Alligator mississippiensis: one gene and its partner. The protein of the gene in region 1 interacts with the protein of each later gene in a biochemical or structural test. Links are inferred from orthologs where the notes say so. Each region holds a gene or a part of one and is shown on either strand. Other genes may lie near its edges. The genes, in order: NFKB2 and BCL3.

Region 1 (15,160 bases):
CATTTTGAAGCACAGGAATGCTGATACATGAGACCCTGTGTGTGCTTTAATTAGGTAGCAGGAGCTCCAATGAGGCTAAAGAAAGACTTGCTGGCTCTTCAGGGGCAGTCTAGATCTGTGGTCTTTGCATGTGTTTGCTGGTTGGTGGTGGACTATGGGGCCATTGAGCAGTACAATTCCATGGGTTTCTCCATCATACCCGTAAAATGCAGTTTCTGCCTTGGTGTTGTCTCACTGAGCCGCTGACAGCATTTTGCATCTGGCTTCAAGCAGGCTACACAGAGCACTTGAGCACTGTCAGTGCTCCAGTCTAGTTGGTAATGTGGCAGCATGGTCTGACACACTGCACGTAGGCTCTGGTATTTTCCTCAGTGCAGATTCAAATCCCACTACTGTGAAGACACAACCTTCCTTTATTTCAGAGTCTAAACCCTTTGGAGCAGGGACAGCTTTGTGTTGTGCTTGTCCAGCCTCGTGCACACCAAGGTCTTGGCTGTGGCTGAGGCACTGGTGCAACATAAATAAGAGGTTGCAGTGTGTTTGACCCTTGGCCCTGACCAAGTCAGCCACCTGAGAAGTCTATAGGTCACTGTATTGAAAATCTAGGGCTAAAGGAGGGAGGAGGGAAAGGCTATAAATGTCAAGTGCAAACACCAGAAGGAAACCCAACTAGGGAGCTAAATTAGAGACATGAATATAGGGAAAAGTAACACAGGCTTGGTGAGAGAGGCAGTGTGTGGGCAGCTAAATTAGCAGGCATGAGGGTTTGCAAACAAAGCAATGGAGGAGGGGGTGTTGAGACTAAGGGGAAGTTGTGTTCCCTGGAAGAAAAGCCATTAGTGTCTGGGCTGACCCAGCTGAGGCTTATTTGGACTGAGGTCATGGATAAAATGGGAAAGGAAGGTGAAGGCTCTGTGTGGCTCTAGAGCCCCTGGCAATATGAAAGGGAGAGGAGGCCTGTGCAAGAACCATGGGGAGTCTGGCTCCTCAGAGGTGCTGACTGAGAGAAGAGTGGCTGCAGGCATGGATGGATCTAGGATTTTGAAAAAGGAGGTGAAGATGGTGTGGTGCAGCATTACATATGATACAATGTATTTTTCTCCAGTTAAAGAGAAACTAGAAAACTCACTAATATGCTAGGTGCCACTGATATATTATTCTTTTAAGATGAAAGCAAAAATCAAATATAACTATAGGAATGTGCATTAATTTGCTAGATTATATATAAAGTTTGAAAACACAATAATCTAGGCAAAATAGTCAAAAGGTATTGTCTTATTATTCCTGTAGTCAGCATAGTTAAATGTACACCTCTTATTCACATTTGTAAAACAACATCTAGCCTTCTTGAACATCTTGACAGTGTATCCATCACTTCACTGTCAGTCATTTCCATAAGTGAGTTAAAGTTACCATACATGAATTAAGGTTTTTAGCTAGGACTAAAAATAATATGCAAGGCTGTGAAACAGAAGGGAGATATTTCCAGGAATGGCTAACAGACAGCAAGATTGAGGAAGAAAGCATAAATTAATTAATAGAACATCAAGACTATTTAAAAAGAAGAGAGGGTCATTAGCACCTGAGATTAGCAGGAATCGGGTATATTACAATGAACCATGAAATCAGTTGATTTCCTCAGTGCTGCCTGAATAGAAATGCTGTCTCTCCCAGGCAGTTGGCTATAAAGTTTGAGTGGAGCAGGAATCAAAAGGGGTGCACCACTGCACACCCCCCCCCCCCATATCTGCCCTTGGATGCGGGCATGGTGGTTTCAGTTGTGATGCATATCCATCTGGCTGATGGGATCAGAAGATTGCTCAGGCAGGACAGATAGCTGTGAAGTAGGTCTGTCTGGCCAGTGATCACACTGGGTTTGAAATGCTGAGGTTCCTTACAAAGGGCAGAATATTGAATCCCATGGGTTGCAAGAACATTGGCTGGGTGCAGGGAGGAGTTTGGATACTTAGGGAGGGGCTGGGATCCAAGTTCAGTTAGTAGAATCCAGAGTGGCTAAAATGCAGGTAAAGTCAGGCTGGCAAAGCACAGAAATAGAAGGAGATGGCAGGGCATTTAGGGACGTGAGAATGGGGAGGAAGGCTGTGGTCATTGTCCACACACTGTGGTGACTGGTGGTCTATAAATACCTGGAGAGAGAGGACAGCCAGTGAAAGGGGCACTTGGAAAGCAAATAGATTTCTGTGGAGGTTACAGACCCTGGGGTGTGTGAGGTCACCAACCTATGGGGGATTGGCCCATATCCAGAAGGAGTAAAGGTGACTGATTGAGGCCCAGCAGTGTCTGTGGGGAGTTCACACATGAGCCAGAGGTCCGGATCCTCTCTTGCTCCCAGTGGTTGGTCCCCCTCTAGGACAAAGTTGTGACGCATGAAACCTTTGGATAGAACCGTGGGCTCTTCCTGGAAGAAAAAGCAATGGCAGTAACCAGTTGAGACTTGCAAACACTTTATCAAATAAATAACTGCTGGGGTTTTTTTAAGAAAGCACGTCATGAGAAGACTTATTTGCTGCCAAGTGGAGAACTGTTGGGGATAAGAAAGGAACAGCTTCTGGGAAATCCTTTCCCTCTTATCTTTCACAGCAAGAGGGTGCAGGTCTGGGCATCTGGTCCCCCAGGATGGAACGCAGGGTGCAAAGTAGCACAGAAAAAAGGCAGCAAAGTTAACTCCTCAGAGGATCTGAAAGTAATAAATTCCTCTGCTGTCCTAACTCACCCACAGAAACTGGGAAGGGAACTAAGAATGTGCTTGGAGAGATCCGTGTGGATTCTGGAGGGCTGGGAAGTGTGTGGCAGAGCTTTGTGACTGGGAGGAACCAGGGTGTTGGCAGTCAGTGGGCTTGTTGAGCTGGCATGGTGGGTCTCTGGAAGGGTGCCATGAAAAGCCCCTTGTTAGGAGGCAGCAGGGCAGGACAAAGAAGGTTGAGTATGAGACTTATTCTGAGGACTGTGGGTTCAGGCCCTGCCCTGGGTGAGCTTTGAAATGCTTTGGGGACCCTGGTTTGGTAGCAAGGAGCATTTGTTTAGAACTTGTCCACTGGTCACTAAACTTGCCTTAAGTCCTTCTAGGCTGTAAATGCCTGCCTTGGGAGATGGAAGCTGGTGGGTGTGTTGCACTGTAGAACTTGTGTATGAGAAAGGAAGGGGGTAAATCAGAAGAGGAGGAGGCTGCAGGAGAACTGGTTTAGCAGCAAGAAGATAAAGGTGAGACAGAGGTGGAGAGCAGTCAGGAGTAGAGTACTCAGACCAGAGCAGGGCCCAGCCTTAGTCTGAGGAACTGGGGCTTAGGGCTGCAAACAAATGGAAGAGGCAACCAGAGCAGGTGACCATATGTTGTACAAAGGACCCCTGACATGGAAAAGGAGTGTAGGAAGAACCCAAGGTAGGAGCTTTCCAAGGGACTGGAGGGAGTTGGGCATCCAGTTCCTCCTGAAACTCAGTGGGAAGTGGGTGCCTAGTTCCCACAGGGAATGTGCAGATCTCTACCTGGGGCCAGCCACATGATCTTGGTGGCGAAGGGCCAGAGGATCCCTGCTGCAGATAGAGATTGCCCTGATGCGTGCGTCTCATGGGGTGGTAGGCAAGTGTGAGATTCCAAACTTGATTGTTCCTTGCATACTAGTACCTGCTTGACAATAGACTTTGTGCTGGGAGGATCAGGCCGAGATGATCATTAACACCCTTGGCTGTGCATGAGAGTCCCTCTCCGCCCCTGCCATGGGAGACTTCTGTTGGCATGCAGGAGTTCATAGGTTGATAATCAACCCACTAGGACCTTTGCTGGTAAATTCGCTCCAAAAGGCAGCTGGACGTTCCAGTTCAGCACCTCTGTAAACTGCCCTGTCAATAACTAACTTAATGAGGGGGAGGGAGTGGGGGGAGAGATGGGATGGTGCTCCTCAGAGGCTGGACCCCTACGCAGGCAGTCCTTGCTGGGACTGGAGGATACTGGTGGTTGTGTTGTTCTTCATGCCCACTAGTTGCATCTGATCCAGGGCATGGTCCTGCCTCCAGGCAAGTGAATGGGGACTTCTGCCCCTGTTACTAATGGGAACAGGATTAAGATCAGCTTCCAAGTAGAGTGAGCTGGCTCTGCCGCTGGCTGAGTAATCCGGGGCTGGGGGATGAGGGCTGCATCCCCTGCTGCTTTGGGGCTATATATCCATCCTGGGGACTGGTTCTGGGGGTAGGGGAAGGAGTCGGGTATTTCTGGTACCCAGGTGCTGTGCTGATTTCCTGCAGAGGCTGTCAGCACATCTTACACTAACTTGGGCCTGTCCCCATGCAGTCTGTCTTCCTGGGTGCCCGGTGCAGCTGCCTGCACCCTTCCCCCTGGGCAGAGATGCTTTGCCTGGCTGTCTGTGGCTGGTTTCCTTGACTCTGGCACCCCCAGGTGGCGTGTTCTTCGTCCAGGAGAGCTTTGTGCTCCAGCATGTGGCCGCCCTCTGCGAGTGGGTGTTCATCATAGATGTCCTGGTCTTCTACGGTACCTTCACATTTGAGTTTGGAGCCATTTCCACGGAAACCTTCCTGGTCCTCCTGAAAGCCAGTCGGGCTCCAAAAAGCTACAAAGCTGACAGCAGCACATCGAGCACGCCTCACATCCACAGCCACTCGGAGAGCCTGGCCATGATTTGAGGGGAAACTGCTCCATGCGGTCTCAGCCTGTGAGTGCCAGGGAGCTGGCCAGGGGCTTTCAGCGAGACCAGAAATCCAGACACTGCCAGCAATTCTCTTGCCTTGAACATATCCAGAAGCCAAGTGGCCTCCCACAGTGTGTTGTGCGTGGGTGTTTGGCTGACTGGGGCCCTGACCCCAGCTTTCCCTCGCATGAGTCATGCAGACAGCATTACAAACTTACTTCCCACACTTCCATGGTATCATCACCAGCAGCTTTTTTACAGGAAAGAAGAAACATCTACTTCCCCCATACCAAAGAGGTCTCCATGCAGGGGCAGGGAGGCACTGAACAGGATGAAAGGTGGTAGGATCCAATTGACTCCCCAGTCAGCTCAATATGTGAGGGGACTCAATGTGCCTTTCCTGGGTCTGTGGTGGTGAGAGGAAGACAATCGCCTTTGAGGAGGCACATGCCATTCCCCGCAGTGAAGGGGATGGCATCTGCCCTCAGAGATGACCCATTTCTGTTCTATTAGGGGAAGGCTTCTCTGAGGACCAGAGACAGTACAAGAGGACAAGTTGGCCAGTTCCTTCTCTGCTAAGATACCAAATTCCTTTGGACCAGCCAGGCCTGTTTTTGTTTGATGTTGAGAAATCGCATCCCCTCCCTGCCTGGCTAGCCTGAGCAGTGGGGACATAATGATTAGTAAACAAAGCGTCAGATCTATCCAGATGGATTGAAGGTGGCCAGACAGTTCGACCCAAAAAGTACAGATGCCTTAATTTTTCTTCCTGCAGATGTGTGTTTTTTTTACTATCATTATTTTTAATATACAATATCAGAGCAGTCTGAGCAGACCCCAAGTGCCTATGGCAAAGGTGGAATCACTTGCTGTTTTGGTTCTTAGATGGGCTTCCACCCTATGGATCAAGCCGTGAGGGCTTATCCTGGCTGGTTGCTTTCTGAAGATTAAGTGAACATCATAGAGAAAGTAGTCCTTGTAAAGAGCCCTTCAAGGGTATCAGCCATTCTGGAGCTAGGGTGGAGGCAGCACTTTAATTCTAGGGGCCCTGTTTCCAAGGGCTCTGACTTCTCAGGAACCCCCCCCCCCCCCCAATCCTGCCATGCTTCCTGTGTGTTCTCAGCCCAAAGGAGAATCATTAGACCAAGTTTAATCTTCCATGAGGCCTTCTCTGAATTCTTGCCACAGTCCTCCTCTACCTCCCTCTGCACGTATCAGAATATCCTTTTTATATTACAATAGTGCCCAGAAGCCCTGCTGTGCTAGGTGTTGTATGTGCACACTGGAGAGTTGGCAGGGATTTGGCCAGTTCTGACACTACACATCACATATCAAGTCCTCAGAGGAAAGGACAATTCTACCCTTCTGCATTGTTGCATGGTTGAATTTGTCAGTCATGGTTCTGCACCGTAGTATAGAGGAGTGCTCTTTGCAGCTGTTAGGCAATTCAGCTTCTCTATCCACCTCCCTGGGATAAGATCAGTTATTACCCTTCCTACATCACAGGTGAGGGAAACTGAGGCATAACAAGGTATAGTATCCACCCCAACACAACGTAGGAAGGTCCTGGCAGACCCAGCCATGACTCTCAGCACGAGACCCCTGTCTTATCTTGCCTGTCACCAAATGTGCCTTTGACCCATTTTTGGAAATGGTCTGTTCAGGCATGCTGTGACTGTGGCTGTGACTAGAAATTGCACCCCACACACACAGTGGTGCTTCTTCACCTCACTGATTTGCAGCCCAGGGCTATCTTGCTCTTCCCAGGTAGCACAGCCTAACTCAGGACAAGAATAAAGCCAGCCAGAGCTACCAAATGTCAGTGGTTGCCCTAGACTGATCCTTGCGCAGGTTTCCTGGGACACAGGAGGAGAATCCAGGTGGATCAGCCTCAGCTGTGTGAGTGAATAGAAAGGATGAAGTGTATTTCTCCCCTCCCCACCCTTGCCCCTTGACAGGGGCTTTTGCCGCTGTGGTTGTGTGTGTTCACTTGGCTGCGTTTCCTGATTTGTCCACCTTTCACATGGATTGGTCTGCAAATGTGCCAGTGCTCACAGTGGAGAAATTATATATGTATGTAAAGAATCTATATAGAGAGAGACATACATTTGCAATAATAAAATTAAAAATCAGCCAAGCATGAGGAGCTCACTTCCTTGGGGAGGAATGCCCTAGCGCAGCAGAGGCGGGGAGCTGGGGCAGGTGCAGCAGGATATGAGACTCCAGCCTCCGGCAGTGGTTCCCAGGCTGTGTGGCTGGTAGTCCAACGCCAGCTGGCTTTGTTTCCAACCCTAGCACCCACTGGAAAGCCCCAGCTTTAAGTATTGCTTAAGCCACTTAAGGGCACGAGTCCCGTTGGGAGTCCCGGGGCCCGGACAAGTCCGTCCCTTGGAAATCCCACCCAGGCGATGCTGCTTCCTTAGGCGATGTCCAGGCCCGGGGGCGGGGGGGCATAGGGCCGATCCTGTCTTAGGCGGGGCTGGGCTGGGCGCTCTGGGGAGCTGCCCCAGCGGGCTCGGCGGCGGCGGCGGCGGCGGCGGCCGCAGGGACGGGGCGGGGAGGGGCGTCCCGCGGCCGGAGGCACCGCCCCGCGGGCGGGAGCTGCAGGCGGGGCTGAGCCGGGAATCCCCGGGGGGCGGTGCCTGGACGGGACTTTCCCGGGGCGGCGGGAGGAAGAAGGGACGACGGCGGCGGCGGCTGGAGGTGAGGGCGCGGGGCCGGGGGTTGCGGGAGGATCCGGGCCACTGCGCCGCCCTGGGGCAGGGCTCCCCCCGCCCGGCTGTGCCGTCGCTCCGCGGGCCGCGCCGCCCCGCTCTGCCCGTCCGTGCGGCGCCGGGAGCGGTGGCTGGAGGCCGCGGGTGTCCCCTGGACACGCGCCGGGTGGCCTGCGGGCTGCTGCCCGGGGCGGGCGGGGACTGGACGCCGGGGCCGGCCCCCGCAGGCAGCCTGGGCCTGGGCGAGGTGGCCGCCGGGGTTTGAAGCAGGTCGCTTGGGCCTAGCGCCTCTCCCGGGCGATGGAGGGGATGTGGGCTTCATTGCTGCCCTCCCTCGCGCCTCTGATCCCGCTCCGCCAGGCTGTGCGGTGCAGCTCGGGAGCCCGGGATTTGCACCGGAGGCTGAGGCCTCAGTGGAGGGTCAGGACCAGGCAGGATAATGAGATCTGCTTTGCTTGGGAAGGCAGCTTTGCGAGCCCCTCACTTGTTCCCATTTTTAAATCCACCAGTTGTTCTCCTCGTTGTGAAGGGGCAGGTTACCCCTCATTTCCTAGAGTTAATCGCTCCTGAAAAGGCTGTGGCTGAAATGTGAGGGCTGCGGGGGCACCCATCCACAGCCGGGCAGAGCGCCCCTAGAGGAACGCGGCTGACTTGGGAGACTTTGGACATCTCGGGGCCTGTAGTTCCAGGTTGTGAAAGGAACAATCTCAACAGGAGCCGTCTTGGGAAATCTCAAGCGGGGGTAACTGTGCTGGGTTCTGGCTGTAGGAGATGTGTCCTATAGCCAGGCTGTGAAGGAGCTGCCCCTAAGGACAAGGGGCTGGCTAGACACCATGGCAGATGTGACTGATGGGGGCAATCCCTGGCAATTAACATGTGGCTGCCATAGGAAGGCAGATGTGGGACAGCAGGAAACGTGGGTGACTGTTTATCAAACGTGTTTCTGACACTTTCTCTTCAGTAAGACCCACTTCCTCCCAAAACATTGTGTAAGCTCCGCACTGCACGCGCTGAGCAGCTAGAGAGCAGCCCCTACCAGCCGGGCAAGATGCTCTGGGCTTGTGATGCCAGGAGGGTATTTCTGGGTGATAAGCCCTGTGTGAAGGCTTTGGTTGAGCCTCCCCGTGAGGCTGTGCTGTGGATGAGGACTGACTGCAGTGAGGTGAGGAACAGAAAGGAGGGCATCCCTGCATCCATCTGCTGCTCCACGCATCTGCTAGTGCTTGGGGGAGGGCACTTGTACAGAGCTGGGGAGTTGCTATACTTGAAGGCCTGGGAGGGGAAAGGGCCTGTGAATTTCCCCAGAAGGCAGCAGTCGGGGACACGAATGATTGAAAGTGAAGCTGGTAAAAGGTGGTCTGCAGGCTCCAGATGGAGAACAAGGGAGAGGAGACCAGTCAGGCTGCAGTCTCATCTGGACAGGTAATGAGCATTTAGCACTTCCATGTGCTGAGATTTAGGAGGAAAGGCAGGAACAGGCTGATGAGGGAAAGCTGGTATCTGAGTGCTGTGCTCAAACCTTGTGTTCTGCTCCTGGCTCTGACACCTGCTCCCTCTATGGTCTCAGGCAAGTGATGCCACCCTTTGGGGGCTCAGTTTCCCTTTCTGTAAAAAGGGGGTAATCTTCCCTATTCCCCCAGGTGTTGTGAGAGGCAATTCCCTGATGCTTATGTGCACTAGGATTGTAGAGTGCTGTCCACTTGGCAAGCACTGTGCGGAAAAGGCTACTGGAACGTATTTGGATCAGCTTGTTCAGCTGAATTCATCCTGGAGGACAGCATGGTCTTGCTAAGGTAGTGTTGATGTCCCCATGACCTGGGAACCTGTGGAGGACAGGTGAGGTGATGGACAGGAGAAAAGGGCAAGCTGCCAGTGGTAAGGGTAGTAGGGGAGGGAGTAGATGATGTACAACGGGAGCAGGCTGTTAATAACCCAACCAACAAAGGAGTTGTCTTACAAGCCCCTAGAAGAAAACCAGAGGATTAAAGCAGGAGGCAGCTTAGATTTGCCGTAACTAATGTAATGTCTGTGAGGAGACAGCAAACTTGCAAAGGCTGGCTCTGGGCCCGGCCTGTCCCTATGGTCATGGGGCTCCTCTGATTTCTAGGAATCGGGGGAGGGTTGTGCTGTACTGCAGCTGAGACTTTTGTGCTGCTGTGTGGGGGTCGGAGGGGAGGACTGACAGGGGCTGCACTGGTTTAATACAAGCTCCTGGGACAGAGTACAGCAGGCCAGATGTTTCAGTGCAGGGATGTGAGGCCAGGAAGCTGGGGCTGACATAGCATGCTTTTCATAAACAGGACCTGAGTTGAGCTCAGCAGTAAGGCATCCAGTAAAGGCAAAATTTGGAGAGGCTCCTAGAAAGAAAAGGAAGAGGAGAGGAGCAGCTAGCTCTAGGGATGTGTAAGGAACTTCAGAGGGGGATCTGGGGCTATGCGTCATCCCTGGCACTCCTGAAGCATCCGTCCCCATGACCACAGGGTGCCCTTGCTATGTACGCATCTCGAAGGTGGAATGTGTTTCCCTCCCACCCAGAAGATGATGAATTGCATGAATCGGATACTACTGCAGAAGTAGTACCTGTGCTCTGTTCCTGGGTCACATCCACAGGAGTTGGGTGTGAAAAAACAGTGTTAATCTGCTCTGGGTGGCAGGGCCTGGACACTAATAACTGAGGCAGCTGGTGTAACTGGGCAGTGAGGTCTACAGTCATGCAGCTGTCCTGCAGAGGGTGCCATCCCTGCTCCGTGGCCCTGGCTCTGACTGTGGAACAGGCCTGGAAAGTGAAACTCACTTGCATCTTACAAGTACTGGCAGAGACAGCCCCACTATTACTCATAAAATCTTACAGCTTGTGGTGGGGCTGCCTCTCCCTATAGTTTGGCCTACAGCTTCTCCATGCTCGGGTGCTCAGCCCTAACATACACATCTGACCTGAGCTTAAAGGTCACTTAGCAGGTTAAATTGAGGGGGGGGTGGGCAAGAACAGTATTAGGAAGCAAATTTAAGCTAACAGAAGCAAGTTCTGTTTCACATAGCCTGTAACTAACCTGTTGACACAAGGTGTTGTAGAAACTGATAACTTAATTGGGTTCAAAAGAGGATTAGATAGTTCATGCAAGATGGGTCTATTGGGGGAAATTTAAACATTTCACCTATGGATGCAACCTCCAAAATAGGACTTACCAGCTTCCAGCCCTGATTTAGAGGCCTAGGAAGGAAAAAGGGGGGGGGGGGGGCAGGTTGTCCTCCATAAATACTTTCTTCCCCTTTGCATTGGCTATGTGCTGCTGTGAGATGCAGAACATTGGGCTAGACAGATCCATAGTCTGACCGAGTATATGCTTTTATGTGTGCCCTGGAGACCAGGGACAGAGAGGAATGCACCACATGAGATGAGGACACCCCTCCAGACTGTTATCTTAAGGTGTTTCTAGTCCCTCCTCTCCTAAAGAATCCTATAGTGCTCGCACAGCTGCATTATTGAAATTGGGTGGAGAGCCAGAGGCTTTCAGCCTTTTCTTGAACCCCTGCCCTCCCGCAGTGAAGGAGACTCTCCAAGCAAGGGGGCGGTTTCTTAAAAATAGAGCAAAACATTTCACTTAAAAAAAAAAAAAAAAAAAAAAAATCTTGAAGCTGGCACTCCATTGCATGCTCTGGGGAGAGGCTGGGAACAGCCTTGTGCCAGACATAAATTGTGCTGCTTTTGTTGTGCTGCTGGGAGGTGCTGCTGGACTACAGCAATCGCTGCAAGATGAAAGCCTATGAACAGTGGAACATGGGGCCCAGCTGTGGAGGGGGAGGACCCACTGTGTTGAAGGACATGGGTCCCATTTAGGGAAAGTGCCACTGTCCCCACAGAGCTGACAGTTGGTGGAAGGGTGTGTGGCTGGGGCAGGCAAGCCTGTCCTGGTGGCTGGAGTGGCCTGGAGAGGATTTGCTGGATGCTGTCTGTAGTGCGGGGCAGTGCCGGGGAGCGGGGGGCTCTGGAGCCTGCACCTGTTCTGTTGCGGTGTCTGGAAGTTGCCAGCGTGTGGCGGCTCGCAGCCCTGGGCCTGCTCTGTGATGCTGGTTTCGTGGGACACGGAGCCCCACTCCCCGTGAACAGCACCTGCTTTGGGCAAGCTTGCTGGGCCGGGAGTGCGGGCAGGGAAGGCAGAGCCCATGCCCACGCCCCCCGGGGCTGCTCATCCTGCTAGACTTTGGCCAGTGGGAAAATCTCAGCACGGAGGGTTTTCCTCCTGTAACTTCTGATGAAAATGAGTCAGTGAGTGTACAATCCCCTTCCTCCTCCTCCTCTTTCCCCCACACGCCCAAAATCCCCAGCGGCAGGACCTACCGGCAGCCAGTGATTCAGAAATTTCATGGTATGAGAGAGAAGTAGAATTTTGTTTTCAGTTGCTTAACGCCGGGCAGAAAGGACTCTGGAAAAGGCCCAGGTGGCTTTGGGCCGGGCCTTCCCCGCGCCCCGCTGTGCCCGGGGCCGGGCCGGGCCGTGCGGGGCCGGGTGAGCCGGGCCGGGCTCCGCTCCGGGGCGCGGGTGCCGCGGGGCGGGCGTGCGGGCGGGGCGGCGCCGTCATTTCCAGGCGGCCGCGGGCTTCTGGGGACTTTCCGGCGCGGCGCCGACTTTCCTGCTCGCCCGCGCCGGCCGGGCCGGGCTTTCCCCCGCGCCGCGCGCTTCCTGCCGGGGCTGCCCGCGCCCGGCCCCGCTCACCCCGCTCTCGCCCGCAGGCCCGGAGCGCGGCAGCAGCGCGGCGCGGCGCCGCCATGGACGAGTCCTACAACCCGGTGAGTGCGGCGGGGCCGGGGTCGGGCCGGGCCGGGCCGGGCCGGGCCGGCGGGGGGGGGACGAGACGGGACGGACGCGGGGCAATCCCGGCCTCATGCCCTGCCCTGACCTGCCCTGCCCTCTCCTAGTGCCTGGACGGGATCGACTATGACGACTTCCAGTTCAGCTCCCACATGGTGGAGCACAAGGAGCCGCTGATGGAGACAGGTAAGGCAGAGGCAGGTCCTGGCAGCACCCTCGGGCCCCGTCGCTTGCCAGGTGGGCAGTGGTCACCTGCCCTGCCCGGCCCGGCCGGGCCTGGCTGGCTGGAGCATCCCAGGGCACAGCGCTGGCCTGTGATCCATCCCCAGGGGCTCCCCATCCTGCTCTGCTCCTCTCATTCAGGTGGGTGAGCAGGGCCATCCCCTTCCCGCTCAGCCCCTACCACGAACCCCAGAAACACTGTCCCACTGCCGAGGCTATGGGACCTTTGCCCGTCCTGAAGTTCCCATAGTGCCAGAAAGAACTGGCTGCAGCTCGGCGAGGGTGTCCTCGGCATGGCCTCCCACCCATCGCTGTTGACCGGCATCACCAGGACGGGGGCAAGCTCTCTTTCTTCCCTCAGTATTTTTCCTTTCTTCTCCCCAGCCGAAGGCCCGTATCTTCTCATCATTGAGCAACCAAAACAGGTAAGGGCTTGGCAGCTCTGGTCTCTCTGCAGCAGTGGTTTCCAAAGTTTTGTTTGCAGCCTGCTTAGTGGGTGGGATGTCGTGCTTGGGGCTGCATGACAGAAGTGACCTGCAGCGCACCACCTCATGTTCAGCAGATGTAACAGAACATGCCTTGTACAAGCCAAGTAAGAACAGTCCAGGATCATTGCTTGATTTCAGCTGGAGTAAGACTTACACACCCGACTTACCTTGCTGACAAATGTGCCGGGTCAGCTCACATAGCTGAGTGCCTCCAAAAAGCAATTGGAGAAGGGGAAACTGCATGTTCAGTCAGCTTCCAGGCCCTTTATAAGGGAAGTCTCTTATCCTTAAGAGTGGATTACTGGGCTACTGCTAAGGTTTGTCAGTCAGCTGCTTCTGAAGGGTCAGTGGCTACAGCTTCGCCAGCCAGCTGGTTCTGTTGAGGACAGCCACCGTTTTGAGTCCCTGCGTGGGTCACACATTGGGAACCGCTGCTCTGGACAGTGGTGTTTCACCATTCTCTGTGGTGCCTTCTGGTTGGGGAAGCTGGGGCTGAAGTCTCTGTGAGCTCACTGCCTTGAATGTAGGGTCCCTGTGCCCAGCACCCTGGTTGGCAGGGCTGCTTGGTCTCTGGTGGTGCAGTGACATGGGTTCTGGTTTTGCAGCGTGGGTTCCGGTTCCGATACGGCTGTGAAGGCCCTTCCCATGGTGGGCTGCCTGGAGCATCTAGTGAGAAGGGACGCAAGACTTACCCCACAGTCAAGGTGAGCACCAGGCCCTGGAGGAGACAGTGCTGTTCTGCCCAGCCATGGGGTACTCCCTGCACCTTGTCTGGCACGCTGGGGGGGGGAGCCTGTACAGGGCATGTGTGTGCTTCACGGTGCTTAGGATGAGATTTATTCCTGCCATGGGGAGATTGTAGACGGGGTCTGAGGCCAGAGCTCACGGGGTGGAGGTTGTCATGATTATGAACTCTCTGAGAACTCCCCTTTTCCCTACAGATCTGCAACTATGTAGGCCTGGCACGGATTGAAGTGGACCTGGTGACCCACAGTGACCCCCCACGTGTGCATGCCCACAGCCTGGTGGGGAAGCAGTGCAACGAAGCTGGCAATTGCATTGTGACTGTGGGGCCCAAGGACATGACAGCACAGTATGTACTGCACTGCTGAGGGCTGGGGAAGGCTCCTGCAGGCCCTGGCTAAGGGATGGCTATGCCGCAGTAGGGTGATGGGCTTGGGTAATGTCCTTTGTGCTTAGTGTAGGGAGCAAATGTGTTAGGACTGTGCCCCTATCCCAGCTGCACTCCTGTGCAGCCTCTCCTTTTGTTCACAGCTCAGCATCTTCAGCAATAGCATCAGGTCCTGGTCCCTGTGTTGGGGGTGCTTCCTTCCTCTTGTTCTGCACCACACAACCTCTCCCCGTTAGCTCCCACTGCTGTTGTCTAGCTGGCACCTCCCTTCAACCTTCATGAATGACTGGCTGTATCTGGGCTGCTTGGAAAGGTCTTACCTGACAATCCCTTGCATAAAGCTCCCTTCAAAGCCCTTTGCCCATGCCAGACAGCTGGGAGGCAGGTTTCGTGAGCATATCTGGAAAGTCCCTTGAGGCTGCTCACTTCTGACAGGACCAGTTGGGTGTGCCAAAGGGCACTGGCTGAAGTCTTGAGACTGTGTTGTGGGGCGAGGCAGACGCTGTGTGTGGGGTACTCTGGACATGAGGCCTAGGGGCCTTCACTCCTAGTAGCTTTCATCAAAATCCAGCCCATGTTGTCAGCCCAGTCTGACTTGGATTCCCCAGGCTTGTGCCATCTCCTGAACCTCCCCAAGCTTGGCCCTGCCCTCCATACTGGAGCTAGCTTGACCCTTTCCCAGCTTCCCAAATGGTCCCTTCTATCAAGGCCTCCTTAGGGAATGCATACATCAACTCTTTGCTCCTTAAGTGCCCCTCTTGCTGGCAGATTTAACTCCCTGCTGCCAAGGGCCTCGCTCAGCCCTGTTTCAGTGACTGGCATCCCCTCCTGCATCCCTCTAGCTGCAGCTGTTGAGCAGGCTACTACCCCACCCCCGTGCCCTTGCTCACTGATCATCTCCCCTAGGTTCAACAACCTTGGGGTGCTCCATGTGACCAAGAAGAACATGATGGAGATCATGAAGGAGAAGCTGAAGCAGCAGAAGTTGCGTAACAGAAGTCAGCTGCTGACAGGTGAGGGGCCACAGAGAAGAGTGGCCAGCAGGACATAAAGCCAGGGACAAATTGCAGGGAGTTGGGGGTGCAGGGCAAGGGACTGGCACTCGCTGCAAGGAGTGAAGTCGGGGCTCAAGG
Region 2 (15,365 bases), on another chromosome or scaffold:
TCCGTCCTGCTGTCTGGGGGGGGTCCAGGTAGTCATCACACTGGTTTCACTGGGGGGAGTGAGGGGAACCCAGATGTCCTAGCCCCTCCAGCCCCCCACCCCCTTCCCCCACCATTCCTGGCTGGTGGGGAATGGGGGGGCAAGGGGACCCCCCCACTACCCTGCCAGCCTGGGAGGGCTGGTTTGGTGGCGGGGGGCACGTGCATGTAGCCAATAAAGAGCTGTCAGCGATCCCGGCCCTGGCTTGGTCTGTGCCCCCCCCAGCTGGAGGGACAGGGCTCCGATCCAGCCACTGCCCCTTCCTGGCTATCAGACCGCTCCCTGCATTTCCTTCCTTCCCCCAGGCTTGGAATAGAAAACCCAGGCGTCCGGGCAGCCCCTCCCCAAGCTGGCAAGGGCCAGGACCTGGCACAAAACAGCACCCACCCCACCAGCTGCTCTGCCCCCCCTGCCCCTACTAGAAATGGATCCGGGGTGTCTGGGGTCACCCCCTGCCCTTTGGCCAGCTGCTCCAGCACAAAGGGCGCAGTAATGGGGCAACTGCGGGAGGGTGCAGCTGGCACTTTCCCAAACCTCTGCCAGAACCACCAGAGCAGATCCACTCCTGGGCACCAGCAGGGCAGGGGGTTGAGGGCCAGGAGTGGGGGGCACTGGCAGGGATGAAGGGGGCAGGAGGTTGCGGGTTGGGAGCGAGGGCACCATTGGTCCTTCTGTCCCTGAACCAAGAGGTGCTGCCCCGCCCCCCCAGCAGCCATTTCTGGGATGACATCTCCCCCCATCCATCTGTCCCCTCAGCCCCCCCAGCTGCCCCCTCTCACTGCCCCTCACTCCTGACCTGCAGCCCCCCAACCCCCAAGTCCCTGGAGACAAAAATCTGCATTAAAAAAAAACAAATATTTTATTAGCTGCATCAGCAGCACACCCCCTCTCCCCCCTCACAATAAGTTACCCCCCCTGGAACCCCCCATTCAAGTATTTGATGCTGCCACCTGGGGGGGCAGGGGAAGCAGATGCCCCCCCAGGCAGACCAGGCTGTGTGGGGTGCAGCCTGGCACTGGAGGGGTTAATGCTGTGCCTGGGGGGGTGGGGGGGCTCAGTGCAGGGGACCCCCCCCATCATCTCCAGCCAGGCCCTAAATACCTGCAGGAGCAGCACCCCTTTCCCACCCCACTGGGGGTGCCCCAGACTGGGGGGGGCTAGGCTCAGATGCCCCCACCCCTGCTACATGCCATGGGGGTCATAACCCCACCACCCCCAATGCCTGGGTCCCACAGTGTTGGCAGGGGAGGCGGACAGTGGGGTCCCACAGTCCTGACTGGGGTGGGGGCCGGATGCCTGGGTTCCCCATGGGTCGGTGGTCACCCCCCATGCTACTGGCCCCAGGGAGGGGTCACCGGATCACGGCCCCTGGGCTGGGGTCATGGGGCCACAACCCCCAGGGCTCCCAGCGTCAGCTGCCCCCCCCACCCACTGCATCAGGGGTGCGAAGCCTTGGCCCTGGCCCTGCCCCAGGGGGCGGGCTGCCAGCATCCCTTGGAGGCACGTGATTGGGCAGTGGTCCAGAGCCCAGCAAAACAATTGGCCTGTGGAAAGCGGCAGGAAGCAACGGTGCAAAGTGATTGGCCGGAGCATCCAGGTTGTGGTCCAGCCGTCCATTAGCCAAGGGCAGGGGGAGCTGACAGCCCATTGGCTGCTCCACAGGGGACAAGATGGGGCTGCTCTCCCGCTTCACCGCATGGTGGGTGAGGCCTGGTGTTGACGCTCCATTGGTCCCTTCCGCACCCTCTGCTCTCTGATTGGGTGTAGCCGCTTGATGGGCCCCCGGCGTCTGGGGGGGGCTGGGGGCCAGCAGGGGGGAGCTGGAGAGACCTGAGGGGGGAGGGGGAATCAGGAGCTGCCCCCAAAGACCCCCAAGGGCCTCCCCCACCCAGCCCCAGGGAGTCCAGGCAGGGGGGGGCAAGGGAAGGGGTCTCACCGGTGGGGCTGAGGCCAGGGGAGGTGCTGCCGGTGGTGCTGGGCACTGGCGAGGCCCCATCCCCTGCTCTCTCGGAGGTGGGGGGCGGGCGCGAGGCCTTACCCCGCAGGATGTCAATGACCTGGGGGAGGAATGGGGGGAGGGGGAGGTGAGCACCATGGAAACCCAGGACCACCCTGGTCCTGGCTATGGGGTCCTTTCAGAGGTCTGCCCCTAGAGACACAGGGCAAGGCCCCGAGGGTCCCCACCCCAAGGCCCCCAAATGACCCCCCCACCCCTGCTATTGCCTATGACCTCCAAGGTCTTCCATGGCCCCTGCCCTGACCCCCCCCCCCCCATTGACCTCCCAGCTCTGCCATGACACCCCCCCCCCCGGGCCAGCCTCCCCGGTGCCTGCCGCCAGTGCTGCCACAACCCCTGCCCTGGCAGCCTGTGACGTCCCAGCTCTGCCATGACCCCCCCCCCAGCCTTCCTCAGGCCTGCCATGACCCCCCTGACCTATCCTGAGACCCCCCAGCTCTGACATGACCCCACCCTGACTGCCCCCAGGGTTACCCTGCTCCCACCCTGACCCACGCCCTCACCCGGCGGTTCTTGGCCACAGCCAGGGCGGTGTCGTTGTGGCAGTTCTTGAGGCCGCCGTCAGCACCCGAGCGCAACAGCAGCCGCAGCGCGTCCAGCAGCCCCCGGCCGCTCGCCACGTGCAGCGCCGTGCACCCCGCGTACGACTGCGCGTTCACACTTGCCCCCTGCTGCAGGGCACAGGGAAAGGGGGCTCAGGCCTGGCGCAGGCACCGTGACCCCCCAGTGCAGCCCCAGCCCAGGGTGCAGAGCCCACAACTGGGTGGGGGGGGCATTGAGGGTCTTACCTGCAGCAGCAGCTCAGCCATGGCCAAGTCATTGTTCTCCACCGCATGCAGCAGCGGCGACCGCCCGCTCTTGATGTCCTGGAGGCAGAAAGGGGGGGGGGGGATCAGAGCCCATTGGGCCCCCCAAACCTCTCCCGCACTGCCCCCCATCGAGCCCCCTGACCCCGCTCACCGCAGCGTCTGCGTCAGCCCCATGCTCCAACAGCAGCCGGGCGGCCTCCTGGTCCCGCGCCGCCACCGCCACGTGCAGCGCCGTCAGCCCTGTGGGGGCAGGGGTCAGCTGGGGGGCAGCGCACCCGCAACCCCCCACGCAGCTCCTCCAGAGACCCCGCCACCCATCACCCTGCCCCCCAGGATGTCCCCAGGGACCCCCAAACTCCCCTACGCCCACACCCTGGCTGGGCCCCCAACCACCACCAGGGACCCCCCAAGAGCCCCCGATCCCTCGGCCCCGCCCCAACCCAATAGTCCCCCCAGGGCCCCCGCTCACCCTCGTAGTCGCGCGCCTCGAGGTCGGGCGGCGGGCGCGCGCCCAGCAGCAGGTCGCGCAGGCAGCGCGCGGCCCCGTGCTCGCAGCACAAGTGCGCGGCGCTGCGGCCCTGCCGGTCCCGGGCGCGCGCCGAGGCCCCGTGGGCCAACAGGAGCCGCACGAGCGCGGCCTGGCCCGTGATGGCGGCCACGTGCAGCGGCGTCTGCAAGTAGGGGGTGGGGGGGTCAGCACAACCCCCAGGGGCTGCGGGGCAGGGGCCGCCGGTCGGCACCGCAGCGCCCCCCGCCCCCCGCGGAAGCCAGCGGGAAAGCCCCGGGTGGGGCCGCACGCGGTTCCGGGAAGGTCCCCGCCCCGCCCCGCCCGGCCCCGCCCCCCGCACCTGGCGCAGGTGGTTGTAGACGTCGAGCTCGCGGCCCCCCCGCAGGAAGAGCGCCACCAGGCGCCGCGCGGCCGCCACGTTCCCTTGAGCCACCGCGATGTGCAGCGCCCTGCGGGGAGCGCGGGTCAGCGGGCGGCCCCCCCGCGGGGATGGCGCCGCAGCGAAACCGAAATCGGGGCTTCCAGTAACAGCCCCCGGCGGCCACTTCCTGTCCCAAACCTGCCCCCGCGCCTCCGGGAGCCGCCCTCCCTCTCCCGGCTGCGAGCTTCCCCCCCCGCAGTGCCCGCCAGCCCCGCCCCCTCCACCCCCTGCTGCAACCTTCTCCAGCAGTGCCCTGCCAGGGACTCCCCCGCAGTGCCCTGCCAAGTCCCTCGTCCGCCCCCGCACAATGCCCTGCCACCTGCACCTTCCCAGTGCTGCAGCCTTCTCCAGCAGTGCCCTATCAAGCCCCTCGCTCCCCCGCTGCGAGACTCCCCCCCCCCCCCCCGCAGTGCCCCGCCAGCCCCATCCCCCAGTGCTGCAACCTTCTCCAGCAGTGCCCTGCCAAGACCCTCGGCCCCGCCCCCGCTGCGAGCTGCGCCTCTGCAGTGCCCTGTCAAGACCCCTCTCCCAATCCTGTGAGCTTCCCCAGGCTTCGCCCCAGTGCCCTGCCATGGACTCCCCCCCAGTGCTGCGAGCTTGCCCCACAGTGCCCTGCCACGGCCGCCCCCCGCACACTGCCCTGCGGTGACCCCCGCCCCGCCCCCGGCACTGTCGGGGGAAGCTCGCAGAGCGGGCACAGGGGAGGAAGTGGGGGGGGGTGCCCTGTCTGCCACCCCTTCCAGTAAGGAGGCGGGGCGGCGGGCAGTGACGCGTGGCTGACGTCACGGGGCGGGGCCCGGGCGGGGATTCCCCGTGCCGGGTGGGGTGGGGTGGGGGCCGTGCCCCATGGCCCCCCCGCACTTACGTGTCTCCGTCCTCGTCCTGGCGCGTGGCCGCCGCGACGTCCGCCGCCAGCTGCGCCTCGGCCGCGCCCGGCAGGGCCAGCGCCAGCGGCACCGGCAGCGGCACCGGCAGCGGGGGGGCGAAGCCCAGCAGCGCGGGGGGGGACAGGCAGGCGGCCAGGTCCGCCGGGAACGCACCGCCCAGGCCTGCGGGGGATGGGGGTGTCAGGCAGCCAGGTGTCCGGGTCCTCCCCGCCCCCCCCACGCAGGGCCCCAGGTGTCCGGGTCCTGCCCAGCACCCAGGGCCCCAGACGTCCGGGTCCTGCCCCCCCTACCACCACCACCACCCAGGGCCACAGGCGTCCGGCCCCTGCCCCCGCTGCACCACCAACCCGGGGACCCAGGCAACCGGGTCTCCCCCGCCACTCCCCCCACTCTCCCAAGGGACCCAGCTCCAGTGAACCCAGGCGTCCGGGGCGGGGGCGCCGTGCAGCGCCGAGCACCTCGGCCCTGCGGGACCGGGGCCGGCATCGGAACCCACCTGGGTAGCAGCAGGCGGGCGACAGGCGCGGATAGCGCAGGGCCAAGCCGGGCCCGCAGCAGCCCCCGCAAGGCCCCGGCGCGGGGGGCTCCGGCTCCGGCTGCGCCTGCGGCCTGGGGGGGCTCCCGGCAGCGGCGCTCGGGGGCTCGGGGGGGTCCCGGTCCCGGCCCGGGTAGCGGCGCTTGCGCAGGGGCAGGCAGGTCTCGGGCTGGCGGGCGGGGGGCGCCGGGGGGGCGCGGGGGGGCGCCTCCCGCCGCCACGTCCGCAGGTCCACGGGCAGTTCCTCCGCCGCCATCGGCCCGTCCCGGGCCGGGGCCCGCAGCCGCACGCCGGGGTCCTTCAGCTGCAGGCGGGGGGCGGGCGCGGGTCTGCAGCCGCACGCCTGGGCTCCTCAGCCGGGGGCCGCAGCCGGGTCCCTCCCGCGGCCGGACGCCGGGGTTGTTCAGCCCGCGCCGGGGGCGGGTCCGTGCAGGCGGGCGGCGGGACGGGGCTGGCGGCCCCCGCTCGGACGCCTGGCCTCTCCGGCTGCCGGCGCATCCCCCCCCGGCGCTGAGGAAGAAGCCGCGGGACTTCCCCGCCGGCTCAGCTGAACCCCGGGGACTTTCGGAGCCGCCCCCGCCCCGCCCCGGCCGCCGCTTCCCGCACTCCCCGCCCCGGGGCGGGGCCGGGGACCCCCCCCGGGCGCGGCCGCAGCAGCTGGGAGGGAGCCCGGGCGCCCGGGCCGTCGGAGCCTGCTCCGGCTCCTGCCCCAGCGCCGGGATCGGGGCCGCCGGCGGGTGTGGGGGAAAGGGCCCGAGAGGGGGACTTCGCCCCTGTCCCGGGCGGGGATTTCCTGGGGCGGGGAGAGGAATCATTAACGCCCCCCCCCCTCCCCTCCCGTCCCGCGGTACGAGGCAGCGCCGAGGACAGCAGTGCAGCCGGGGCACACGCGCGTGAATTGCACAAGGGGAGGGGCAGCTGTGAGTGCCCCGGGCTCGGTGCTGCAGCCCTCACCTCCGGCTCCGCCTCCCCCCGCACGGCACCGGTGACCAGAAGCGGCGGCCGAGCTGGAAAGTCCCTTGCCCGCCACCCTCCCCCTGCCTACTGGGCCGAGTCCGGGGGGTGGTCTGCAGTGAGACCCCCGGGGCTGGGGGCGGAGCGGGGCACACGGGCGTGCCAGGGCTAGGCGGGGAGTGTGAGCGGGGCTGAGCCCGGCAAACGGCTGGGTGCACCTGCTGCCCCCCCCGCAGGGGACCCAGACGTCCGGGCCCGCAACCCCCCCTCAGCTCACCCCCCCATAGATTACCCGGGTGTCTGGCCCTAGCCCCCCCCCCCCCCCCATAGATTACTCGGGTGTCCTGCCCTAGCCCATAGATTACCCGGGTGTCCAGCCCCAACCCCCGCCCATAGATTACCCGGGTGTCCGGCCCCAGCCCCCCATACATTAACCGAGTGTCCGCTTTCCCCCACCCAGGCGTCCGGGCTCCGATCCTCCTCCTCCTCCCCCCCCCCCCCCGTTTCTGCGGAGCAGCGACGACACCTGGCGGCCTCACGTGGCACCGCACCGCACCGGCCCGTGCACGCCCCCCCGTGTGAACACACGCTCACACTCTCTCACACACGTGTTGACACGATACACACACGCGTGTTGCCGTGACACGCGCACACGCATATTGGGGCGCACGCGCGTTACCACAACACACACACACGTGTTGACACTCCACGGTTAACACGCCCCACACGTTAACACGCGACGCGAGCACACATATGGGGGCACACGCCTGTTGACACGCGCTGACGCACACGCGTGTTGACACACGCACCGTGCCTCAGCCTCCGGCCCAGCCAGCTCCGCCGGTTCCCGGCGCGGGGGCGGACACACTCCCACGGACTCACACGGACACACACACACGAACACACACCGGCAGGCAGGAAAAGGGGGTGCTGCGCCTCCTCCCCCCAGCCCAGCGGGACCAGCACCGAGCCGGTGAGACCGTCACCGGGGGCCCGGCCGCCTCGGCTCTCTCCCTGCCGGGGAGGGGTCAGCGAGGTCGGGGGACGCTGGGAGCCCGGGCGCCTGGTTCCCTCCAGCCGGGGAGGAGAGTGGGAGCTGGGGGGGGTAGAGGGGGCGGGGCGCTCGGACGCCTGGGCTCTTCCCGGCCCGGCCCCCCGGCCCGGCGCCAGGGCTCCGGCCGCCGCGGTTCGCTGCCCGCCCGGGCCGTGCTGCACCTGGTGACGCGGGGGAGCAGGTTCCGCGGCTCTCGGTGGGGCCAGGCGCCCGGGACGGCCAGCGACCCCCTCCCCTACAACTCGCTCTGAAGCCCGGGTCTCGTCCAGGGAGGGCGATGGCAGCGCCCCGCTGCGGGGCTCGGCTGGCAGGTGAGGGGCACCGGGGGGCTGGGGGTCGGGAGTGAGGGGCACCAAGGGACTGGGGGCTGCGGGTCAGCGGTGAGGGGCACCGGGGCGGGGCGGGGCTGCGGGTCAGGATTGAGGGGCACCAGGGGGCTGGGGGTCGGGATTCAGGGCAGCTGGGCAAGGGCCTGCAGGTTGGGAGCGAGGGGCACCAGAGGGTGCGGGTCGGGAACGAGGGGCCCCAGGGCGGCTGTGACTTGGAAGCAAGGGGCACCGGAGGGCTGGGGGGGTGCAGGTCGGGAGTGAGAGCACCTGGGAGGACAAGGGCCTGTGGGTCTGGAGTGAGGGGCACCGAGAGAGCCTGGGGACTGCATGTCGGACGTGAGGGGCACCGGGGGCCTGGGGGGCTGCCGGTCGGGAGTGCGGAGCCCCGGTCCCACCTCCCTCTCCCCCCGCAGCTCTCCCGTGGCCGTGGCTGTGGCTGTGGCTGTGGCTGGCGCTGGCGGGCGCGGACGAGCTGTTCGTGCTGGTGACCCCGGCCGAGCCCCGCGCCGGGGACAACGTGACGCTGACCCCGACCGAGCTGGGCCCGCTGCGCCAGGTCGACTGGTACCGCGGGGAGGGCGCGCCCGACGGCGGCTCCCGCATCCTCTCCTTCTTCCCGGGGCAGTCGCGGCCGCAACGAGACGGGGCGCGGAGCACGGGCCGGGAGCGCGGCCGCGCCGACGGGACCCTGGTGCTGCTGCGGGCGCGGCCCGGCGACTCCGGCCTCTACCGCGTCGCGCTGCAGCTCCTGCCCCAAGGCAGCCGCCGCGGCCAAGTGCGGCTCCTCGTGCGCGGTGAGCCGCCCCCGGCCCCATCCTCCCCGCACCCCGGACACGGATGCCTGGGTCCCCCCGGCTCTGAGCCTCCCGCAACCCCCAGGGCGCCTGATCCTCCCCCACCCCACCCCACCCCACCCCCCGCCCCGCCCCGGCCCTGGACGCCTGAATCCCCCGGCCCCGACCACCCCCGCATCCCCCCCGGCCCTGACCGCCTTCTCTCCCGCAGACGCCGAGGGCACGGAGCCGCCGCCCGCCTGGGCCCCGCCCGCGGCCCCGCAGTACCTGGGCTGGGTGGTGGCGGCGGTGCTGGTCGGGGCGCTGCTGGCCGGGGCGCTCGGCACCGCCGTCCTCTACCGCCGCCTGCGCCGCGCCGAGCCCGCCACGCGGTGAGCCCCGCACGCCTGGGCCCCTTCCCGGGGGGCTGCGCCTGGGTCCCTTCCCGGGACGGGGGCGGACGCTTGGGTCCCTGCCCCAGGGGGAGGGGGCAGAGGTCTTCGCCCCGTCTCTCACCTCCACCCTTCTCTGTGCAGAGCCATGGGCAAGCTGGACCCCCAGGTCTCCGGCAGGAGTGAGTGAGGGGCCCGGATGCCTGGGTTCTCCGCGGCTGGAGGTTGGGCTGGGGGCCCCGACACCTGGGTCCTCCCAGGCTGGGGGCGGTGGGGCTGGGCCTTGCATGCCTGGGTCCCATGCCCCCTTGCCCCGCCCCCCCAGGTGACAAGCAGCACATCTACGAGGTGATGGAGTCGCCGCTGGACTCCCCCCTGCCTGGGGGCAACACAAACCCCTGTGGCCCCCCGGTGAGTGTGCCCCCCCACTCGGTCCCCCGGACACTGTGAGGGGCAGCAGTAGGTGGGTTATAATAACTCCCCATGTCCACCCCGCAGGACCCCCCCGTAGAGCTGCCACCTGAGCTGCGCTACATGGTGAGTGCCCCCCAACACCCCCTGGTGCCCCCCCCCAGTGCCCCACCTAACCCCAGTCTCCTGCAGGAGCTCCTGAGCTGCGCGGAGTCTGTCTACGAGCAGATCCAGCGCTGACGTCACAGCCCGGGGCACCCCACAAGAGATCTGCCCCTCCCAGGAGACGCCCCCAGAGCCCCGGACACTCGGGATTAAAGAGCTCCTCCCTGCACCCTGCCCCCAGCTGCCTGGGTCCACTCTGTGCTGTGGGACGGGACCGGGACAGCTGGCTTCTCCCATGGGGGGGCCACACCTGGGTTTTCTCCCTGGAGCCCGGTTCCACCCCAGTGGCTGGAAGGAATGCCCAGCACACACCAGGATTAACCCTTTCCTGCCCTGCTGTGTATGTGGGAAGTGGGGAATGGACACTCCCACCCCTCCAGCACACGGCTCCCCAACTGCTGATTCTGGGTGGGGGGGTGAGGGAGATGGCTACCACGGTGATGCCCCCTAGACTTCCACACCCCGTTTCCATGGTGACTGAAACATTGGGGGTAGGGGGTGATGGGAGGGCACCCATCCCTGACCTCTGACCCCCGAAAGGCCTGAATGCAGAATGGGGCCAAGGGAGGCAGCAAACCAGCCAGGCTTTATTTGGTTACAGGGTAGTACATTTGGCACTTGCCCCAGCATGCACCGGGCTAGGGAGGGACATTGCTCAGGTCCAGAGCTCCTGATACAGGTCCCCGGCTCCGAGCTGCAACGTCTGGGGGGACACAGGGGAGGTCAGAGATACGGGTCAGACGGACACACCAAGCCCCTCTCAGGTCTGGGCCCTGATGAGCTGCCCGGTTCTCAGCAGCCCCAGGGAGGCCCTTACCTGGTAGGTGGGGTCGAGGGAGCTCCCGGGCTGGGCCTGGGCAGAGAGGGAGGCAAGAGGGTTGTTAGCACCAGAAACCCCAGGGGACCCAGGTGTCCCGGTCACCATAGGGGACAGAGGGGAAGGCAGGGGGCTGCGGGTTGGGAGTGAGGGTCAAGCCCCTGTCACTTACCACTGCCCCCATACAGGCCGGGGAGGGCAGGTTCTCATACACTTGGGGAGGCTCCTTGCTGTCCCGCGGGGTCTTCCTCCGACAGTGTCGGACTAGGGGAGAGGACAGAGGCTGAGACCAGGAATCCAGGTGTCCTGCCCCCCCCCCTCCACCCCTCCTTCCTCCAACAGCTGGGTGGGGAACCCAGGCATCCAGGTGGCTACTCACAGAGGACATAGGCCAGAGTGCCTCCCAGTGCCACGGCCGCTAGCGCAACCCCAGCCACGACTCCAGCCACAAGACTTGGACCTGCATCATGGGGGGAGATCAGGAGGGGGCAGAGACCCCCCCAGCCCAACCCCCCTGGTGCTGTCCGGGAGCACTCACCCCCCTGCCCTGAACCCAGGGTGATGGAAATGGAGGTGGTGGCGATGAAGCCGGTGCGGGGGTTGGTGGCACAGCACTTGTAGATACCCGTCTGCTCCATGCCCATGAGCACCAAGCTCAGGACAGCACCAGTGCTGGTGCTGGTCTGTGCCGGGACCATGTGAGAGGTGTGGGACCAGGTGAACTGCGGGGCTGGGACTGAGTCAGCCATGCATGTCAGGTTCACTTTCTCACCAGCGGGCAGGGCCAGAGGCCCCTGTGGGATGATGTGGACAATCTCCGGACCATCTGTGGGGAGAGTGAGGGGTGACACTGCCCACAGCCACCCCAGAGCCAGCCACATCCCAGGGTGTGAAACCAGCCCCGATGCCCACCCCAGAGCCAGCTGCATCCTGGGCCTGTGATACAGATCTGGCCACATGCACTGCACTCACAGATGACAGTGATGGTAACAGCTCTGCTCCGAATGTGGCTGATGCCTTTCTGCACCTCACACTGATAGTCTCCAGCATCACCACGGCTAACCTGGCGAAGTTGCAGTGTCCGGTTCCTGGGGGACAGCCGCACACGGCTGCCAGGCACCAGGATGGAGTCGCTGTGGAGCCAGCGCAGGGTCTCGGCGCCCTCGGGGGCCTCGCACGTCAGCTCCAGAGTCTTGTTCTCCAGCATTGTGTCACTACTGAACGTCACTGCCGGGGGGTCCAGGGGCTCTGTGCCAGGGTGGGGGGGTCACTGGGGTCCCTGCTCCCCCTGCAAGGGATTTTGGGAAGGGGTGCGGGGTGCAGGTGGAAAGTCACCTGCAGGATGCCTGGGTTCTCTCCAGGTCTGGGAAGGGAGCAGGCCCTGGGTTCTCCCGGGCCCGGAGGCACTCACCAAGCACAGCCAGGTGGACCGAGATGGAGTGGCCATTCCCGGGCATCCCGAGCAGCACGGTGTAAGGACCGGAGTCACTGGGCCGCAGCCCCCCCAGGCGCAGGGAGCAGCCAGGGCCCCCCGTCTCACGCCGCGTGTACCCGGGCCCGTGGCTCAGGGTGGCGCCACCCTCAGGCCGGTGTGTGAAGATCTCAAATTCACCTGCACGGTACCAGGTGCAGGCCACAAGGCTCGGCTGCGGAGGTGGCTGCGGGGTCAAGGTCACAGCTCCCCCCACCACTGTGGCCGGCGGGGGGTCAGGGGTCACAGTGATGTGGGTCTGGGCCAGCACCAGCAACAGGCAGGAGCCCAGGACAGCAGCTGTGGGTGAGGGGGGTTTAGACTAGCTAGTGAACCCCCCAGCCCTGGTGGTGCCCCTCCCGACCGCAGCCCCCTGCCCCCCCAGCCCTGGCGGTGCCCCTCGCTCCCGACCGCAGCCCCCTGCCCCCTCCAGCCCTGGCAGTGCCCCTCCCTCCCGCCCGCAGCCCCCTGCCCCCCCCAGCCTTGGCGGTGCTCCTCCCTCCCAACCGCAGCCCTCTGCCCCCCCCAGCCCTGGCGGTGCCCCTCGCTCCCGACCGCAGCCCCCTGCCCCCCCCAGCCCTGGCGGTGCCCCTCCCTCCCGCCCGCAGCCCCCTGCCCCCCCAGCCCTGGCGGTGCCCCTCCTTCCCGACCGCAGACCCCTGCCCCCCCCAGCCCTGGCGGTGCCCCTCGCTCCCGACCGCAGCCCCCTGCCCCCTCCAGCCCTGGCAATGCCCCTCGCTCCCGACCGCAGCCCCTGCCCCCCCAGCCCTGGCAATGCCCCTCCCTCCCGACCGCAGCCTCTCTGCTGTCTCCTGCACTCGTTTGCTCTGCTCCTGGGTCCCACCGACACCTCCCTGCCCCACCTTGCCCTTGGCCCCTCTCTCACCTGCCAGGAGGATCCCCCCCCAGGGGCGCGTCCCCATGGCCGGCGGCTGGAGGGACCCCTCGAGGCGGCCCAGCCCCACCACCCCTCCCGGCTGCGCGGGCACTTCCCTGTCCGGGTTGCAACATCCCCGGGAAGGGCGTTATTTGGGCTCCGGGCACCGCCTCTGCCCGGGTCCGAGGGGCACCGGCGGGGCCGGCGGGCAGGGGCTGCGGGTCGGGGTCGGGGCCGTGAAGCGAAAGCCCCTGAAAGGTGCAGTTCCCAGCGCCGCCTCCTGCCATAGCAGCCGCTCCCCGACCAGGGAGAACAGGCGTCCCGGCTGCCGGCAGGGGGCAGCGCAGGCGCAGTTCCCAGGGCAGCCACCAGGGGGCAGCAGCGCCCAAGACAGTGCCGGCCCCACCACAGCGCGGGGCATCGCCCTCCCCCTCGCCCCTCCCTCCCGACCCGCTGCCCCTGCCCGCAGCCCTGCCCCGGGTGAGCTCGTGGCTGACGGGGGGGAAGTGCAGAGAAGGGGGCAGGAAGCGCTGCAATCACGGGTGTCGCAAGGCCTGTCGGCAGGGGGCGGGGGACCTTCTCACGGGCTCCATACGCGTGTGCCCACGTGTGCTCCCCTGCCAGGAGTGCCGCCTTGGACCCCGTGTCCGCCCCCCCAGCTGGAGAACATGGGGCTGGGAGCTCTCCCCAGGCAGTGCCCTGGCACGGGCTGCACCCCCAGAGCTGTGCTGGTGTGAACAGCGCCTGGACCGCTGCCCATGGGACCCAGGCCCAGACCCCCAGACCCAAAGAGCAGCCAGGGCCCTGGCCCAGGAGGCGGTGGGGGCTACTTGTCGGGGCTGCGGCCCACGCAGGGTTAACCAGGTGCACGGGGCGGGGGTGGTACAGGAGTCCCCCCTTGAAGAAGGTGGGGGCCGGACGCCTGGGTTCCCTTCTGGCTGGGGGGGAGCGGAAGCTGCCTTGAGGTTTGGCCTGGTTCCTCTTTGCTGGATTCACTAGAAAGTTTCCTCCAGGGCCAGTCTGCTGCTCCAGCTCACGGAACCACAGCGGGTGCCAGGGAGAAGTCAGGCATGTGGGCCCCCAGCACCCCGCTGGCACCCCCGCCGCACTCCCCTGCCAGAGAAGCCAGGCCCCCAGCCCCGCTCCCAGCGCCAGGAGAGGACCCAGGTGTCCGGGGCTGCCTCAGAGAGCCGCATTTGCAAAGCAAATGGGGGAGTGCAGCTCCGGGGAGGGGGGAAGGGGAGCAGGGGCTGTGTATAGCGCACACGCCAGCAACACGTGTGCAGAGATGGGGCCAAAGCAGCCACACGCTGGGCCCAGAGCAAGCACAGCCATGGCATACGCATGTGTGGATCCAGAGTGTGCTTGGCCATGGCACACGCAGGTGCACATCCAGGGTGCGTGCATGGCCATGGCGCACGTGTGCGTGTCCAGCGGGTGTGCATGGCCATCCGTGTCCAGGCAGTTTCACATCTACAAGCCACGGCCTCGCATGTTTTTATTACAAACACAGGAATCAAGGGATGCCTCAACCCCCACCCCCGGCCAAGCTGGAGGGGAGATGCCCCCAGGGCAGAGAGGGGGTGGGAGCCAGGGATGGCCCCCCCAGATGTGAGCCCCCCCACCCCCACACTGCACAGCTCTGCAAAGCAGAGGGGAACCCAGGCGTCTGGGCCCCCAGCCTCCCCGCTGGAGCACAAGAAAGAGCCCAGGTGTCCTGGCCACTGCCCCCCACCCTCACCCCCAACCCAGGCCCACAGCACAGGAGAGCCCCGGTGTCTGGGCTGCCTGGGCCCCCCGGGCTGGGGGCCCAGGTCACTTCTTCTTGACCTCGGCGTAGACAGTGGTGTCGGCCTTGGCGGGGCCTTGGGGCCGCGGCGTCTGCAGCCCTCCCGCCCGGAAAGCGACGGAGCTGTAGCTCACCTCCTCCTCCTGCTGACAGGGCGGGTCAGGAGGGGGGGACCCAGGTGTCCAGGCTCCCAGCCCCCTGCTCTCACCCCCACCCCCCAGGGGGCCCAGGTGTCTGAGCCCTGCCAGTCCTCACCTTGAGGGGACCGCTGCGGGTGACGTCGGGCCCTGGGGATGACAGAGACGGGTTAAAACAGGGGTCCCAAGGGCTCAGCCCCCTGCCCCCAAGCAGCAACAGGGGCACAGTGTTGGTGACACCTCAGGGTCTTGGGACAGGGGAAGTGCCTGTGATGTCACTTCCTGTGTGCTAAGGGGGTTCCCATGATGTCACTGGGGTGCCCCCCACTCTCCCACAGCCCTCAGCACTCACCATGGGGGGCCACAGGTGTCCTGGATCCGGTTTGCACCGGTTTCTTGCTGTGCCTGGGGAGAAAGCAGTGTGAGCCTGGGAAGGGGGGATGGGGAACACCCTCCCCCCCATGCCTGTCTGACCCCTGCCTGTCTGGGCAAATCCAGGCTCCAGGCCCCCTCCCCACCCAGACAACCCATGTGTCCAGGCTTCAGGCCCCACACCAGGCCAGTACCTTTTGCTCTGGCCCCAGAAGTAGTAGAAGACAAAAACAAGCAGCCCCAACCCCACCAGCGTCCCGATGATGATGCCAGCGATGGTGCCGCCTGACAGACTTCCTGCGGGCAGATAGGAGGAGGCTCAGCCAGGTGCAGGGTGGTATGCAGCACCCAGGTGGCACCAAACCAGATACAACGGAGGGTCAGGCTGGGACTCAGAGACCACCACACCAGGGAGGATTGGGCCAAAAGAAACCCCAGGGAGTTCAACAACCACAAGGACAAAGTCCCGCATTTCAGACAGGACAATCCCGGGGTGGGCCGGGGGCCAACAGGCTGGGCAGCAGCTCTGCAGAGAAGGACCTGGGGTGACAGGGGACCAGAAGCCAAATAGGAGCCAAGAGTGGGGCCCTTGTGGCCAAACCTATCTG

Evidence for each region.
Region 2: the proteins of NFKB2 (region 1) and BCL3 form a complex in vitro, tested with the Homo sapiens proteins (2 studies listed by BioGRID). The link is inferred for Alligator mississippiensis from reciprocal best matches to the Homo sapiens genes NFKB2 and BCL3.

Annotation. Positions count from the first base shown.
Region 1 is NC_081829.1:18,181,246-18,196,405, forward strand, and holds the start of NFKB2 (nuclear factor NF-kappa-B p100 subunit), read left to right. Parts: upstream 1-7,265; 5' UTR 7,266-7,364; intron 7,365-12,106; 5' UTR 12,107-12,142; coding exon 12,143-12,163; intron 12,164-12,292; coding exon 12,293-12,371; intron 12,372-12,791; coding exon 12,792-12,832; intron 12,833-13,500; coding exon 13,501-13,599; intron 13,600-13,836; coding exon 13,837-13,988; intron 13,989-14,933; coding exon 14,934-15,040; intron 15,041-15,160. Other genes in the region: transmembrane protein 150A, read left to right, coding at 4,412-4,656. UniProt on the Homo sapiens protein: NF-kappa-B is a pleiotropic transcription factor present in almost all cell types and is the endpoint of a series of signal transduction events that are initiated by a vast array of stimuli related to many biological processes such as inflammation, immunity, differentiation, cell growth, tumorigenesis and apoptosis.
Region 2 is NC_081838.1:31,117,157-31,132,521, reverse strand, and holds BCL3 (B-cell lymphoma 3 protein), read right to left. Parts: upstream 6,445-15,365; 5' UTR 5,473-6,444; coding exon 5,178-5,472; intron 4,844-5,177; coding exon 4,660-4,843; intron 3,823-4,659; coding exon 3,714-3,822; intron 3,537-3,713; coding exon 3,335-3,536; intron 3,106-3,334; coding exon 3,017-3,105; intron 2,923-3,016; coding exon 2,845-2,922; intron 2,728-2,844; coding exon 2,560-2,727; intron 2,097-2,559; coding exon 1,976-2,096; intron 1,870-1,975; coding exon 1,451-1,869; 3' UTR 915-1,450; downstream 1-914. Other genes in the region: CEACAM19 (carcinoembryonic antigen-related cell adhesion molecule 19), read left to right, coding at 7,502-7,535, 7,967-8,347, 8,559-8,718, 8,863-8,900, 9,044-9,129, 9,217-9,255, 9,322-9,369; carcinoembryonic antigen-related cell adhesion molecule 5, read right to left, coding at 9,950-9,997, 10,112-10,147, 10,284-10,375, 10,491-10,571, 10,650-10,937, 11,084-11,359, 11,523-11,882, 12,469-12,602 and 4 more. UniProt on the Homo sapiens protein: Contributes to the regulation of transcriptional activation of NF-kappa-B target genes. In the cytoplasm, inhibits the nuclear translocation of the NF-kappa-B p50 subunit.